Linked DNA regions of Saccharomyces cerevisiae S288C. The gene in region 1 interacts genetically with each later gene. Each region holds a gene or a part of one and is shown in the gene's direction. Other genes may lie near its edges.

What was found. Genes that interact genetically often act in the same process or in processes that back each other up.
Region 2: mutations in TMA17 (region 1) and MYO3 together harm fitness more than expected from each alone (negative genetic interaction), as found in Saccharomyces cerevisiae (2 studies listed by BioGRID).
Region 3: mutations in TMA17 (region 1) and CLD1 together harm fitness more than expected from each alone (negative genetic interaction), as found in Saccharomyces cerevisiae (2 studies listed by BioGRID).

What each region holds. Positions count from the first base shown.
Region 1 is NC_001136.10:261,784-268,437, reverse strand, and holds TMA17 (Tma17p), read left to right. Parts: upstream 1-3,473; coding exon 3,474-3,926; downstream 3,927-6,654. Other genes in the region: TFIIH complex serine/threonine-protein kinase subunit KIN28, read right to left, coding at 1-631, 713-740; YDL109C (putative lipase), read left to right, coding at 1,237-3,180; exosome non-catalytic core subunit RRP42, read left to right, coding at 4,328-5,125; TRM3 (tRNA (guanosine(18)-2'-O)-methyltransferase), read right to left, coding at 5,213-6,654. UniProt on the Saccharomyces cerevisiae protein: ATPase-dedicated chaperone that assists the formation of the RPT6-RPT3 ATPase pair, an early step in proteasome assembly.
Region 2 is NC_001143.9:195,629-201,726, reverse strand, and holds MYO3 (myosin 3), read left to right. Parts: upstream 1-1,559; coding exon 1,560-5,378; downstream 5,379-6,098. Other genes in the region: PMU1 (putative phosphomutase), read left to right, coding at 1-843; SHE2 (She2p), read left to right, coding at 5,699-6,098. UniProt on the Saccharomyces cerevisiae protein: One of two redundant type-I myosins implicated in the organization of the actin cytoskeleton. Required for proper actin cytoskeleton polarization and for the internalization step in endocytosis.
Region 3 is NC_001139.9:711,846-715,766, forward strand, and holds CLD1 (carboxylic ester hydrolase), read left to right. Parts: upstream 1-1,863; coding exon 1,864-3,201; downstream 3,202-3,921.

The sequences.
Region 1 (6,654 bases):
GCCCTGAACGTTACTTCCATTTGATCGACATCATTCTGTCCTGGTAAATAAGGTATCCTTAGCATTAATTCCGCGAATATAACGCCTACTGACCAGATATCAATAGCCGATGTGTAATGTTTAGCTCCAAACAACAATTCTGGCGCTCTATACCATCTTGTTACGACGTTACTTGTCAGTATCTCATGTGGGGCCGGTATCGCCCTTGCTAGACCGAAATCTGCTACTTTTATCTGGCCATCAGGTGAAAATAATAAATTGTTTGGTTTCAGATCCCTGTGCAAAATGAAATTTCTGTGGCAATGATACACGCCCCTCAAAGTCATAAGCATCCATGCCTTAATATCTGCTGGTGTAAACAGTATTGATTTGTCTTTTATTACCACCTCTAGATCAGTTGGTAGGAACTCCAGAACGAGATTTAAATTATCATAAGCCATAAATATGTCTATTAGTTCTATGACGTTCGGATGCTGCATTTCTTGGAGGTACTTAACTTCACGGATAGCTGACATATCTAAACCATCTTTAAATTCGGATGTTTTGATCTCCTTAATAGCAATCTTTCTTCCAGTAGAGTGTTGACAACCCAAGTAAACAACCGCATAAGTACCCTCACCAACTTTCTTTTCTGCGATGAATCATCATTAATCAACGTTAGTATCATTATTGAATGTTAAAAGAAAGACGACAATATATAACCCCCACATACCCTTTGTGTACTCCATATTCACTTTCATATGTTCGCTCTGAGGCCGGGAATATTTTTTTTGATGACTTTTAAGTAACTGTGATTTCACTTGTATTTTTTTTCAATGTGTTTTTTGAATCTACTTGTAATATTCTCTGCACAATGCTTCAAATGAAGCTTCACATCATAACACAAAAAAAATTGTAGGTTCATCCAATGGACGAATCTTTCTTAAGGCTTATGCTTGAAGACCATTTCTATATACCAAAAAATTACAAACTGGCAAGATTGATGTCTTATTGAAACTGAAAATCTTTCAAATTAGAGGGTGATTTTCAATTACAATTGACAACTAAGCCGACTTCCCCTGAAACCGCTTCTGAATTCTTACAAATTTCTCTTGGAGGATTTGTTCAAGGTAGTGTGGTATGTTTTTAGCGTATTAACAGCAAGCGTTGTGTCTGCAAACAAAGAGAAAAAATATCAGTACAAAAAATGCTCACCTGACCTTATTCACCCAAAAACATCGGGGAAACGGTAGTAATATGGAAGCTGGCAGGAGTGCTGATGAAGTGCTATACCACAATCAGTCGTCAGTAAAGTTAGGTGAGTTAGAAAGATACGTTATTACATATGAGCTATACCAGGGTGATAGTATTCCCGCTGATATCACACTGGATTCCCTATGGGTAAAGATCAAAAATACCACAAAGCTATCCTATAAACCAGCCTATCTATTGGGCCCATTTATCTTATATTGTGACGTGCGAGCAAAAGATTACGAAAGCTCGTATAAGATCATATGTTCGGCGGATAAACCAGTATTTCAATCAAACCTACAGGCACAACAAAAGTTTATTGCAGAGTTGTCCTTGCACCACATTAAGCCACGCTATGTATGGATAGTGGATATTGTCAGTCAAATACTATTTAATAAAGAAACTAAGGTAACTTTTGAGATAGTAGTCGGCAATTCAAAGGCCTCTTTGAAAAGAAAAATACGATGTAATGATTCATTGCCTGATAAAGCCTGCAATATTTTACACACAGGATTATCGGTGCATAGACTTACCACCGCAGATATATGGAAAGTACCACGACCCATAGACATGTCGCAAAAATCCCATTTAGTCATTCTCACGCATGGTTTTCAATCAAACGTTTCGGCAGATATGGAATACTTAATGGAAGAAATATACAAGGCTCAAATGAACAATCCAAATGAGCGACTAGTTATTAAGGGATATATGAAGAATGCTTGTGAGACTGAGAAGGGTATTAAGTTTTTGGGTGTTGGATTGGCAAACTACATCATCGACGAGTTATATGATGACTCTGTTGGGAAAATTTCATTTATTGGTCATTCCCTGGGTGGATTAACACAAACTTTTGCTATTTGTTACATAAAGACCAAATATCCATATTTCTTTAAGAAAGTGGAGCCAATCAATTTTATCTCACTGGCGTCACCATTGCTAGGCATTGCTACCAGCACGCCCAATTACGTAAAAATGTCATTGTCGATGGGTATCATTGGTACTACGGGGCAAGAACTGGGTCTTAAGGATGGAAATTATGGTGATAAGCCCCTACTTTACCTGCTATCCGAGGAATCCTTAATCAGTGTGCTTGCTCGATTCAAAAGAAGAACACTTTATGCTAATGCCGTCAACGACGGAATAGTTCCCTTGTACTCCTCTTCTTTACTTTTTTTGGACTACTCTCAATTACTTCAGAAACTGGGAGGTCAAACTACGGCACCTTGTGATCCTCTCTTCCAGCCTGAAGTAAGTCCTATTGGGGAACTTCCAAATCATAGCGATGTTGCTAATGATGATGATGGAATCAATGCATCGTCATGGAACACGTTTTGGAAGAGCAAGGAAAATAACTGCGACAAGAAATCTAAACGCTTGATGAATGCTTCCGTCATCAAATCTATGAAGTCTGTGCTTCTATCACCATGCCCCGACGCAAAGTTCTTCTCAGATCCCGATGCAAGGGTCGCAACAATCATACATGATAAGATCTACACAGAAAAGAATTTACCGCCTCCATCACCAACACTTTATGAAGGAACAGCAGCCAAGGAAGGCGAAACGAGGAAGACGAGAAAAGAGATGGAGGAAATCATAGCACGCCGCTGGCACAAGGGGATGCATTGGAGGAAAGTCGTGGTATTGCTGAAACCAGATGCCCACAATAACATCATCGTAAGAAGAAGGTTTTCCAACGCTTACGGCTGGCCGGTGGTTGACCACCTTGTTACCGCCCATTTCCAAAGAGATGACCCAATCGCCTCACCAATGCAAGATAAACAGTTTGCTGAGGAAGATATAAACATGGCAACCGGAGGGGTGGAACCAAACAAGTTCTACTCATGGCTCACCAAGATCGAGGATCCTAGTGTGTACCATGGTGGAATAGTCTCCACAGCTAGCCAGCTCGCCAGCTCCTGGATTAGCAAGCATTCCTCTGTGACAGATTGACTGTCTATCTTGACGTCATCCCGGGATTGACTTGCAATTTACTATTGTCCACACCTACGAAAGTCCATTTTACTTCGTAGTTCGATAAATGCGCTTACGGGTCTTTTTCGAGCGGGACAACTCTTCAGCTCCTCCCCTAAAACCGAGGCCGAATATCCCTTCTCCATATAAATAAGACACTTTTCACCAGGAAAACAATACTTCAGAAGCTTATTTCTCTTGACAAAAAGAGGGGTAAGATCTTTATAAAACATAAAGCAAATCAAAACATAATAACTACTACAAGTAACATAATGTGCTCAGCAGGCGGTATCAGAAGACCAATCCAGATCGAAGAATTTAAGACGGCGATAAGCGGCATGTCCGACATGGAGTTGGCACAGATTAAAACAGAAATTGAGAACAGTATCAATCATTTGCAGAGGTCTAACGCCCGCTTGGGTAAATACATAGCTAAGTTGGAGGGTGCTGACGACCGTCTTGAAGCTGACGACAGCGACGACTTGGAGAACATTGATTCGGGAGACCTGGCGCTGTACAAGGACTCTGTCAGGGAGAACGAAATTGTGCTAAACAATTACAATGAGAGAGTGGACGCATTGGAGCAAGAAACGGTATATAGAAAGACGGGCCATGGCAAGAGTAAGCACGAGGTAGAGGCAAAGGACAACACCAACAAGGGCCCTGACGTTGACATGGACAATTCAAATGTGGACGTCGTGACACCAAACAGCATATTCATTTAAGAGACGGGATTTAGTTTTACTGCGCATCATTTTCACGTCATACTCTTTGTCTCTCTGTTCTATCTCTTCGTATAAATATTTCAATAACTCCATTTGTCTATTCTATCTACCCGTTCTATCCTTACTACTAGATATCTTAAAGAAATAATAAAATAAGTAAATACAAAAAAAACTCGCTATTAATAATTTATCTCCGAAAGCCCTAGGGTGTGCTTTTCTTCCGTGCCCTAGTCTATTATTTTGAACCCTAGTTGGCGAAATTTTTTTCTAATATTCAGAAAAAAGAAACGTAGAGCTTATATGGTGAAGGAGTACAATGATACTAATAGTCTGTAGACGGCAAAAGGCATTCTTTTTGACTAGCACAACGACAGTTTGAGATTCTGTTGAAATAATCATTTATGTCTCTTTCGGTCGCCGAAAAGTCGTACCTATACGATTCACTAGCAAGCACGCCTTCAATTAGGCCCGATGGAAGACTACCTCATCAATTCAGACCTATAGAAATATTTACTGACTTCCTACCAAGTTCCAATGGATCGTCCAGAATTATAGCTAGTGATGGAAGTGAATGTATCGTGAGCATTAAGTCCAAAGTTGTGGATCATCATGTGGAGAATGAACTACTTCAGGTCGATGTAGATATCGCAGGCCAAAGAGATGACGCGCTGGTAGTAGAGACAATCACTTCTTTACTGAACAAGGTTTTGAAGTCTGGTAGCGGAGTAGATTCCTCAAAGTTGCAATTGACAAAAAAGTACAGCTTCAAAATATTTGTCGATGTTCTGGTCATTTCATCACATTCACACCCAGTTTCTTTAATATCCTTTGCTATTTATTCAGCGTTGAACTCCACATACCTACCGAAACTTATTTCAGCTTTTGACGACTTAGAGGTGGAAGAACTTCCTACGTTTCATGATTACGACATGGTTAAGCTTGACATTAATCCGCCTTTAGTGTTTATATTGGCCGTTGTAGGCAACAATATGCTATTGGACCCTGCAGCCAACGAAAGCGAAGTGGCCAATAATGGCCTAATCATTTCCTGGTCTAATGGTAAGATTACATCACCTATCAGATCAGTAGCATTGAATGATTCAAACGTTAAAAGCTTTAAACCTCATTTGTTGAAGCAAGGTCTTGCAATGGTGGAGAAATACGCCCCCGACGTAGTACGATCACTGGAGAATTTATAAAAATATAGTCACAATTAGATAAAAAGACAAATTAGTTTACATACTAAAAACTTCATGGTTAACAAAAGTGGGAATGAAACCTGATTCTTACATGTGTTGAACTGTATAGGAATGAACGATAACTGCGGTTGCCGTTTGAATATTCATTGATCTGATCACACCAAATTGTTGAATCTCTAAACATAAATCCAATTCGCTTAACAAAGTCCCCGGAATACCGAATGCTTCGGTTCCTAGCAAGATCAATGATTTTTTAGGGAATTGGAAATTGTTGTCTAGCTTCACTGATTTATCCGTTTGCTCTAGCCCAATTAATGTGTACCCTTCCTTCTTTTTCTCTTTCATGAAACTTGCAATCTCATCTAGGGCAACTTCCTCCATGGGCATCCATCTATCAGCAGTCACAGCAACATTTTTAAATTGAGGATGGTTTTTGACTTTGATGTCTTGTACAGTAAGCAGTCCCACACCTAAAACATCACATAACCTACAAATACCTCCCAGGTTTGGCGGCTTATCAACTAATGAAGATACCACAATCAATTCAGAACGTGTAACGACATCATTCGATTTTTTATTGTCCAGATCCAGAACGGTTTCCCAAGCTCCACTTTTTGTTTGCAGTGGAGAAGTGTCACAGGAGATGTTCGCGTTGTTAACAGATTCCGTATTGGTGTCTCTTTTATCAAGCCATAAGGACCTTTCATCGGTACCTATAGGAACAATATCTTTCTCCTGCAAATATTTTTCGAAAACAGACTCAGAAATGTACGGGCAATCATGGTCGGTAACTTTTTTGAGCACACCACCAAACATGTTCGTTAATTTCCTATCACCCTTCAGATCCCATATGTTGGCATCCCCGGCACGATATTGACCAAATATTTGAGTCTTTTTGGCATTGGAATATAAGTTCTCAATGATGTTTCTCAGTGTGTGATCCGATAGGTAGGCTTTGAATGTAGGCCATAATGAAATTATTAGAGAATTAGAAAAATGCCTTACCAGAGGTTTGTTTGAAGCTGCGTTAGGAACTAACGTGCAAATGAATCTGTCTAGTAACTGTGTAAATCCATATTTCTTTTCGTCGTTTCTTAAATCTTTCAACACCATAAAGCATATTTTTTCTGCGCTAACTACAAACACCGGTTTGCTATGATCCTCCAGCAATGAGAAGAGATAATCCTCAGCAAATTTTGGATTGCCAGTTTTATAATAATCAACAACCTTTGAGGAAATGAACCATTCTTTATATACTCTTACTAGTGGTGAACTTTCATCCTCGATACTCTTTAGAATTCTGATCATGCTAGTTTCGCTTAATTTTTTTTCATTGGTGGTTAGTAGTGATAATAATAACAATTGCCACTGCAACAACCTCTGTAACGCTTCGGCACCGTCGGTTCTCTTTATAGCATAAAGTGCGTTTGTTTTTTCAGTAACTTTTTCGATTAATCGAATTTTCAACTGATCATTTGCATATAAAATAGAATCAATAATAGATACTCTAGCCAATATTTCGTCGGGTC
Region 2 (6,098 bases), on another chromosome or scaffold:
GAGGGTTTTCAAGGATTAGACTCCACGAAATATGATCACTTAGAATTGATTAACCATAAGAATTGGAAGGAACTGTATCATGCTATCCCTAGAAATACCAAAAATCGCCACTATAAGCTGTTGATTTTAGCTAGGCATGGTCAAGGTTACCACAATGCTGCCATACTGAGGTACGGTATGGAGAAATGGGACGCCTATTGGTCGTTGCTTTCGGGCGATGAACATGGAGAGTGGCTTGACTCTAAACTGACACCTCTGGGTAAAGATCAAGTTAGAAGAACAGGATCGAATGTCTTGCTACCAATGGCAAAGCAATTAGGTATGCTACCTCATGTGTTTTTCAGTTCTCCAATGAGAAGATGTCTCGAAACATTCATTGAGTCGTGGACACCAGTGTTAGCGGAGACGCAAGAATTACCGGCCGGAACTAAAATTTCTACACGCATTATAGAAGGTCTAAGGGAGACGTTGGGCTCTCACACTTGTGACAAAAGAGTGGCTCACTCAATGGCAGTTGACGAATACCAGGATTTCAGCACGGAATCGGGCCACACTGTACATTGGCAATATGTACCAGATTACCCAGAAGATGATGAATTGTGGCTTCCTGATCATAGAGAAACGTGTGCTGAAATGGACAAACGTACACTGAATGGATTATTTGAACTATTTAATCAATTGTCAAGCGAAGAAAAATTCATCTCGCTTACTTGTCACTCAGGTGTCATTCAAAGTGTCTTGAGAAACTTACAGCATCCTCCAATTTATAACCTGGACACAGGTAAAGTCGTCGCTGTCGTCGTGGAAGTACCAGTCAACACGGCCGATCGCGGCAGGCTCTGAATTTTCCCACAGCGCCCATTCGGGACTTTCAAATATGTGGGTAATTTAAATAATTTTTTATAGATATAATAGAGTGGATGGAATAAAACCCTTTCTTTTCAAATAATGTGTTAAGCACTTTGAGAAATGGTTGAACCTTTCACTTTGATCATCGCTTTCTCAAGCTAGGTGAGAACATACATTTGAGTATAAAATAAAAAATGCATATGTGAAATTATATGAATGCAAAGGGTTCTTAGTTCCTTTTTTATTCTTGTATAGTTTTCACCGCTATGTCCACTCCCTCTTTTATACTATACTAATCGATGCCACAGAAAATATAGGCTTGGAAGTAATAAGCCCCCTTCATATACTTTCGTACAAGAAAATGTAACCGGTACATTAAAACAAACTTCAGTAGCCTCCCCTAATCACTCGGCAGGCAGACCTACGATCTTGAACAACTATTATATAGTAGCAAGATGCTAGCTCCATCGCTTTTCTAACTAAAGGTAAACTGATCGATTTGCATTTATATAATAAACCTCGGGAAGAGCTTTACCGAAAAAGGAAACCGTTTGCTGTGACAAGTAAATATAGAGTAATCTATTATAAAGGGTTAAAGCAATCTCGATTCAATTGACCGCGAGCAAATTAACAACAATCCAGTTATAAAACATTAATTTGCTGATCACATTTGAATCAAAAAAAGTAAAGAGAAATACTTATAACCGTCAATGGCTGTCATAAAAAAGGGAGCACGCAGAAAGGACGTTAAGGAGCCCAAGAAGAGATCTGCAAAAATCAAAAAGGCTACATTTGATGCAAATAAAAAGAAAGAAGTAGGTATTTCTGATTTGACACTTTTGTCAAAAATATCTGATGAATCTATCAATGAAAATTTGAAAAAAAGATTTAAGAATGGAATTATTTATACCTATATTGGCCATGTGTTAATTAGTGTAAATCCGTTCCGCGATTTGGGAATATATACAAATGCCGTTTTAGAGTCATATAAAGGAAAAAATAGACTTGAAGTTCCACCACACGTGTTTGCTATTGCGGAATCTATGTACTACAATCTCAAATCATACAATGAAAATCAGTGTGTTATTATTTCTGGTGAGTCTGGTGCCGGTAAGACAGAAGCAGCCAAACGTATTATGCAATATATTGCAGCTGCATCTAATAGCCATTCAGAATCGATTGGGAAGATCAAAGATATGGTTCTTGCTACTAATCCACTTCTCGAGTCATTCGGTTGTGCTAAAACTCTGCGGAACAACAATTCTTCAAGGCACGGGAAGTATCTAGAAATTAAATTCAACTCACAATTTGAACCTTGCGCAGGTAATATCACAAATTATTTGCTAGAGAAACAAAGAGTTGTTGGTCAAATTAAGAACGAAAGAAACTTTCATATTTTTTACCAATTCACTAAGGGAGCATCTGATACATATAAACAGATGTTCGGTGTGCAAATGCCTGAGCAATATATTTACACTGCTGCGGCTGGCTGTACTACTGCAGATACAATTGATGACGTAAAAGATTACGAAGGCACGTTAGAGGCTATGAGAACCATTGGTTTAGTCCAGGAAGAACAAGACCAAATTTTTAGGATGCTGGCGGCAATTCTGTGGATTGGTAACATTTCCTTTATAGAAAATGAAGAGGGCAATGCTCAGGTAGGAGATACCTCAGTGACTGATTTTGTCGCTTATTTGTTGCAGGTTGATGCTTCGTTACTGGTAAAATGTTTAGTGGAAAGAATCATGCAAACCAGTCATGGAATGAAGAGAGGCTCAGTTTATCATGTACCTTTGAACCCAGTCCAAGCAACTGCGGTGAGAGACGCCCTTGCTAAGGCAATTTATAATAATTTATTCGACTGGATTGTCGATAGGGTTAACGTATCTTTGCAGGCATTTCCTGGTGCTGATAAATCAATTGGGATTCTAGACATTTACGGCTTCGAAATTTTTGAACACAACTCTTTTGAGCAAATATGTATCAATTATGTTAATGAAAAGTTACAACAGATTTTTATCCAATTGACTTTGAAGGCTGAGCAAGAAACTTATGAAAGAGAAAAAATCAAATGGACCCCCATCAAATACTTTGACAATAAAGTTGTCTGTGATTTAATCGAGGCGAAAAATCCACCGGGCATTCTTGCTGCAATGAATGACTCTATTGCAACTGCTCATGCAGACTCCAATGCCGCTGACCAGGCGTTTGCTCAACGACTTAACTTATTTAATTCAAATCCATACTTCGAATTAAGGGCCAACAAATTTGTTATTAAACATTACGCTGGAGATGTCACCTATGACATCAATGGTATCACCGATAAAAATAAAGACCAACTTCAAAAGGACCTAATTGAATTAATTGGAACAACGACAAATACATTCCTTTCCACAATTTTTCCTGATGATGTTGACAAAGATTCAAAGAGACGGCCTCCAACAGCAGGTGACAAAATTATTAAAAGTGCAAATGAACTGGTGGAAACTTTGTCAAAAGCTGAGCCTTCCTATATCAGAACAATCAAGCCTAATCAAACTAAATCACCAAATGATTATGATGATCACCAAGTGCTACATCAAGTAAAATATTTGGGTTTGCAAGAAAATGTTCGTATCAGGAGAGCCGGTTTCGCTTACAGACAAACTTTCGAAAAATTCGTCGAAAGATTTTATTTACTATCTCCAGATTGTTCATATGCTGGTGATTACACTTGGGATGGGGACACCCTTGAGGCAGTCAAGCTTATTTTAAGAGATGCCATGATACCAGAAAAAGAATTTCAACTTGGAGTGACAAGCGTATTCATTAAAACTCCAGAATCTCTATTTGCTCTAGAAGACATGCGTGATAAATACTGGTACAACATGGCTGCTAGAATCCAGAGAGCATGGAGAAGGTTTCTTCAAAGGCGTATTGATGCTGCGATAAAAATTCAGCGTACTATCAGAGAGAAAAAGGGTGGAAACAAGTACGTCAAGCTTCGTGATTATGGAACCAAACTTTTAGCGGGTAAAAAAGAGAGAAGATCCATGTCTTTACTTGGATACAGGGCTTTTATGGGTGATTACTTATCCTGCAATGAGTCTAAAACGAAAGGATCGTACATCAGAAGACAGGTAGGAATTAAGGATAAAGTTGTTTTTTCGATAAAGGGGGAATGCCTGCACTCTAAATTTGGCAGATCAGCTCAAAGATTGAAAAAAGTGTTTATCTTAACAAAAAAGACATTTTATATTATTGGACAAACACGGGAACAGAATGCTATGAAATATACACAAGATTATAAAATTGATGTCGGTAAAATTAAACAAGTGAGCTTAACAAACCTCCAAGACGATTGGATGGGCGTTATCCTTGTTAATAGTACACAATCCGATCCACTCATTAACACGCCTTTCAAGACGGAATTAATGACACGTTTGAAAAAATTAAATGAAAAGATAATGATAAAAGTTGGTCCCACGATTGAGTATCACAAACAACCAAACAAGTTGCACACTGTCCGCTCAAAGATAAGCGATTCAGCACCGAAATACGGTGACATCTACAAGTCAAGTACAATATACGTGCGTCGTGGACACCCTGCTAACTCCAAATCGAATAAAAAACCTAAGAATCCAGGTGGGTTGAGCGGGAAACCTATCAAAAGCAAAAAGAGTAAACACAAATCTACTCATAAGCATACACATAGCCATAGAAGTCATAGGGATGCTGCAAAAAAGCAACCTCTCCCTTCGCAAAAACCTGTGAATCCGTTATCTTTGGCAGCTACCGCTGCACAGGCAGCATACAATCCTAAACCGGATAAGACCGTACCAATAAAGTCATCTGCAATCCCTGCTGCAAAAGTAAGCTCGAAACACAGCTCAAAACCCTCATCGAAGGAAAAAGTCGCAGTAAAGAAAGCCTCCTCAAGCCACAAATCCTCATCCGCCAAGCAAAACCAGGTATCGATGCCACCTTCAAAAGGGGTTGAAAAAAATAAAGAACCGTTAAAGGAGACAACTGCAACTGCAACTGCAAACATACCAATACCACCACCCCCTCCCCCCATGGGCCAACCAAAGGATCCGAAATTCGAAGCTGCATACGACTTTCCAGGTTCCGGATCATCTTCGGAGTTGCCATTAAAAAAGGGCGATATTGTATTTATAAGCAGAGATGAACCTAGTGGTTGGTCTTTAGCAAAGCTTCTCGATGGAAGCAAAGAAGGTTGGGTTCCTACTGCTTATATGACTCCTTATAAAGACACAAGAAATACGGTGCCTGTTGCAGCGACAGGGGCAGTGAATGACGTTACAAATCAGAAATCAAGCCAAATCGACAATACCATTTCAAGTGCACAAGAAGGTGTACAGTTTGGAAGTGCAACAGTTGGACCCACTAGTGATAATCAGAGTAATCCGGTGGGGACGTTTAGCGACGGTTTAGCTTCTGCATTGGCAGCAAGAGCAAACAAAATGCGGGCGGAAAGTGCTGACGATGATGATAATGACGATGGCGATGATGATGATGACTGGTAATTAACATGAATATATAGATGTTTAGTCTCTTATAGAATGGTTCTTCGTGCATGCCTCTTAACATACCAAAAGTGCATTACATATACTTTTAAACATACTCTCGCAGAAAGTTAAAGTCCCTTTTTTTTTTTTTTTTTCATTTTTTGTTTGTATTTTCCCGTTTTGAAAAACTCCCACTTTAATGCAGGACATCGTTCAAAACAAGCTTTAAAGATTTGACAGTAAAATCCTCACTTTACTCAAGACATTTTTCTCAAAAAAAGAGAAAGCACAGTAAACCCTCCTTAATTTTCCTTTTGCATAATACCAGACACTTAAAAATGAGCAAAGACAAAGATATCAAAGTCACTCCTGGAACTTGTGAATTAGTTGAACAAATACTCGCCTTACTCTCCCGGTATCTCTCATCTTATATTCACGTGCTGAACAAGTTCATCAGTCATTTGCGAAGGGTAGCTACGCTACGATTCGAGAGAACTACTTTGATTAAATTTGTTAAGAAATTGAGATTTTACAACGATTGTGTGTTAAGCTATAATGCATCAGAGTTTATCAATGAAGGTAAAAACGAATTAGACCCAGAGGCGGATTCGTTTGACAAGGTAATTTTACCAATAGCTTCAATGTTTGTTAAATGTGTTGAAACGTTTGACTTACTGAACTATTATCTAACGCAGTCATTACAAAAGGAAATTTTATCTAAAACTTTGAACGAGGACC
Region 3 (3,921 bases), on another chromosome or scaffold:
AGTTGTCAAGAAAATAAACGATAACGCCTACGAACTAGATTTAAACTCTCACAAGAAAAAGCACAGAGTTATTAATGTACAATTCCTGAAAAAGTTTGTATACCGTCCAGACGCGTACCCAAAGAATAAACCAATCAGCTCCACTGAAAGAATTAAGAGAGCACACGAAGTTACTGCACTCATAGGAATAGATACTACACACAAAACTTACTTATGTCACATGCAAGATGTAGACCCAACACTTTCAGTAGAATACTCAGAAGCTGAATTTTGCCAAATTCCCGAAAGAACACGAAGATCAATATTAGCCAACTTTAGACAACTCTACGAAACACAAGACAACCCTGAGAGAGAGGAAGATGTTGTATCTCAAAATGAGATATGTCAGTATGACAATACGTCACCCTGAACGTTCATAAAACACATATGAAACAACCTTATAACAAAACGAACAACATGAGACAAAACCCGACCTTCCCTAGCTGAACTACCCAAAGTATAAATGCCTGAACAATTAGTTTAGATCCGAGATTCCGCGCTTCCACCACTTAGTATGATTCATATTTTATATAATATATAAGATAAGTAACATTCCGTGAATTAATCTGATAAACTGTTTTGACAACTGGTTACTTCCCTAAGACTGTTTATATTAGGATTGTCAAGACACTCCGGTATTACTCGAGCCCGTAATACAACAGAAAGTTCCATTTTGGATGCTCTATTTATGGGAATATGACTATACGAATGTCACCCACGATGGCCGGAGTAGCTGTGATGAGCATCTTTTTGTCCTGGGCGGCTTAAAACGTGAGCAAAATTGTACTGTAAATTACTTACGTTATCAATGGAAGTGTGTGAATTTCGTGATAAAATTATTGTCAGAATAGTGACTTCATTATTCTTTATAACTAACCATTAGGATCATATAAGTAATCAGATGCAGTTCGTCATTAATATGTCAGGATGGATAACCATAGGTAAGCACGTGATTATGGAAGGACAGTAAAGTTACCGATCTACTTTTTTGAATGATCAACTTGGTGTTTTCATCTATAAGGATATGGGTCGTTACATTGAAACTATAGTAAAAGATCTCGTTATTGGTATATCGGTCATAATGAAGATGAAATAGTCGGTATGTATTTTTATACCCCCCCCTATATGGTAAAAAGGTTAAGATTCATATTTAAATCTTCATTAATACCACCTCTAATTTCTAATTACCAACATTTTTAACTCCACTTTTATTATATGCTATATACAACATTATGTAAAAGGAGTATACCAAAAATTCTCCTTCATAATATAGGAATTCACAAAATGGAACCGATATCTCCGCATAATGCTATTATCATTTCTTACTCGTTTTATACATTGTCATTCATTATCTTATTGCATTTGCAATCCTTGTTTTCCGGCTTCTGTGAAATTTGACGACTGATTCTCAATTTTATGTCATCTTTTTACACTTATATATGACAATATACTAGTAGTATGAAGACTAATCAACGGAGGTTATTTGATTTCTATTCTAACTTATTTGAACATATATAATTTGTAAATTTTATGCAGATTAGACTTGGGAGTTATCACAACATTTTGTCAGTGTTTAGCCTCTTTCACCTTTGCCTTTTTCAGCCTTTTTTGTGTAAATTGATGGTGTAGTTTGTTTCTGAAAGGGCTCTTTTTATTTTTTTCGCTTCCGCCGTTCGTTATTGGATAATCCCCGAAATATGCTAGAGTGGCTGATACATTATAGAACATAAAAGTGAGCTGCAATGAGCACTCAAGCACGTTATTGACAAGGATAACGGAAAGGTACACTAATACTTATACTGATTAATAAGGGTTAGCCTTTTAATGTTCAAGTCAACTTTAAACTCCATAATAAGAAGACCCTTGAAAGGTTTTCAACTTCTTAGAGGGGCTGACTCATCGAATACACGGCCACAGTCCCCTAGAGCCTCCGCAAGAGATGTTACAGAGAAACAGATATTAAGAACTCCGTCAGCACCAACTGCAATACCATTAAGGGAGATTATCTATAGAGTCCCAAGCTTGTTTCCTCGCCCTTTAGAAGATTCTGTTAAGGACTTCCGAGATTTTATCAAGAACGAGGATGCATTCCAGACTGAACTTTTGAAAACGCTGCCATTCTACCCCACTCCTTCGGAATCAAAAACAGCAAGACTTATAAGAACTGTTGTTGATGATGAGGGCAATTACATCAATGAATTTTGCATACGCCCTCGAAAAACCTCAGTGCCTGAGGCTGACTTAAAACATCTGGTTTTCATTCATGGGTATGGCGCCGGATTGGGTTTTTTCATCAAGAATTTTGAGGATATTCCACTATTGGATAACGAGTGGTGCATACATGCCATCGATTTGCCTGGGTATGGTTTTTCTTCAAGACCTAAGTTTCCGTTCGAGTATCCGAGAGATAATATTCACAGCGTTCAAGATTGGTTTCACGAAAGAATACACACATGGTTTAGTAAAAGAAATCTTTTGAACCGACCTGAGAAAAACATTGTTATGGCACATTCTTTAGGGTCTTACTTGATGGCTTTATATTTGCAAAAATATAAGGAATCTCCATCTTTTAAAAAGCTGATCCTTTGTTCCCCAGCAGGCGTGTCTTATAGAGATTTCAACAATACTGCTTCAGAGGTTGAAAAATGGAAACCGCCTCCTTGGTGGTATGTCAAGCTTTGGGACAGAAATATCTCGCCTTTTACACTAGTAAGAAATTTTCGCCAGTTAGGTTCGAAGATTACAAGTGGATGGTCATATCGGCGCTTTAAGCACATTTTGAATGGTGATCCAGAACAGTCAAAACGGTTTGAAGCCTTGCATAGATACGCATATGCTATTTTCAATAAACGTGGTTCAGGTGAATACTTATTAAGCTTTGCTTTGAAATGTGGTGGTGAACCAAGACTATCATTGGAGCAGCAGCTATTCGATGGCAAAAAGTCTGATATTTTAAAGAATAGTAATTGTGACTGGCTTTGGCTTTATGGCGATGACGATTGGATGGATGTGAATGGTGGACTTAGAGTATCAAGATTCTTGAAAGAGAAGTTGAAACAAAAAAGTAACGTCATCATTGTTCCTCATTCAGGGCATCACTTGTACCTGGATAACTATAAGTTTTTCAATAATATTCTTACGAAAGAAATGCAAAAAATATAATGAAGAAATCTTGTGCATCTACATTATATAACGAAATTTTTACATACATTTTCGCCGCTATTTTTCTTCTTATCTCAAAATGAAATTACCGTTTGCAATCAACACCGGTCGCTGTTTTATTTTGTTCATAATAATAATTTAGATACAGCATGAACTGTATATTAAAGTCAACGATTTCAACAATTCATTTCTGTGTAACTATTTTTCCAATAGAACCACTGTCTTTATGGAGTAGTTGGGCTCTATAAAAATTATTTAGTTCCAAAGTTTGTTTATATTTTGTTTCTATAATAATGTATTGAAGATATAAACAAACATAATTTTACTGTTAACATTTAGGCGCAACAAAAGGACGATCTTTTTTTATTTATCACAAGTTAAAGATTTTCGATACAAATAATATTGTGGTTTAAGGTACGTCCAACTCTACTTAAATCACTGAATCCTTCAGATAACGAAATTACGAATAATATCTACTCTGTTTCTCCTTGTCTTTGTTCTTTCTTGCAGCCAGCCAAGCCCATTCGGGATCAGAGATTCAAATATCCCTGACGGCTGGTTCTGGATTAAGTTGATTTTGTGGAACTTCTGTCTTCACAATTATATTGTTACCCACTTAATGCTTCTCGGGGGTTAGAAACACTAGCACTTGAAAGAACATGAAAAATTGAAAAAAAAAAAAAACAATGCACAATAAATTCCAGGGGTTAGCGACTTTAT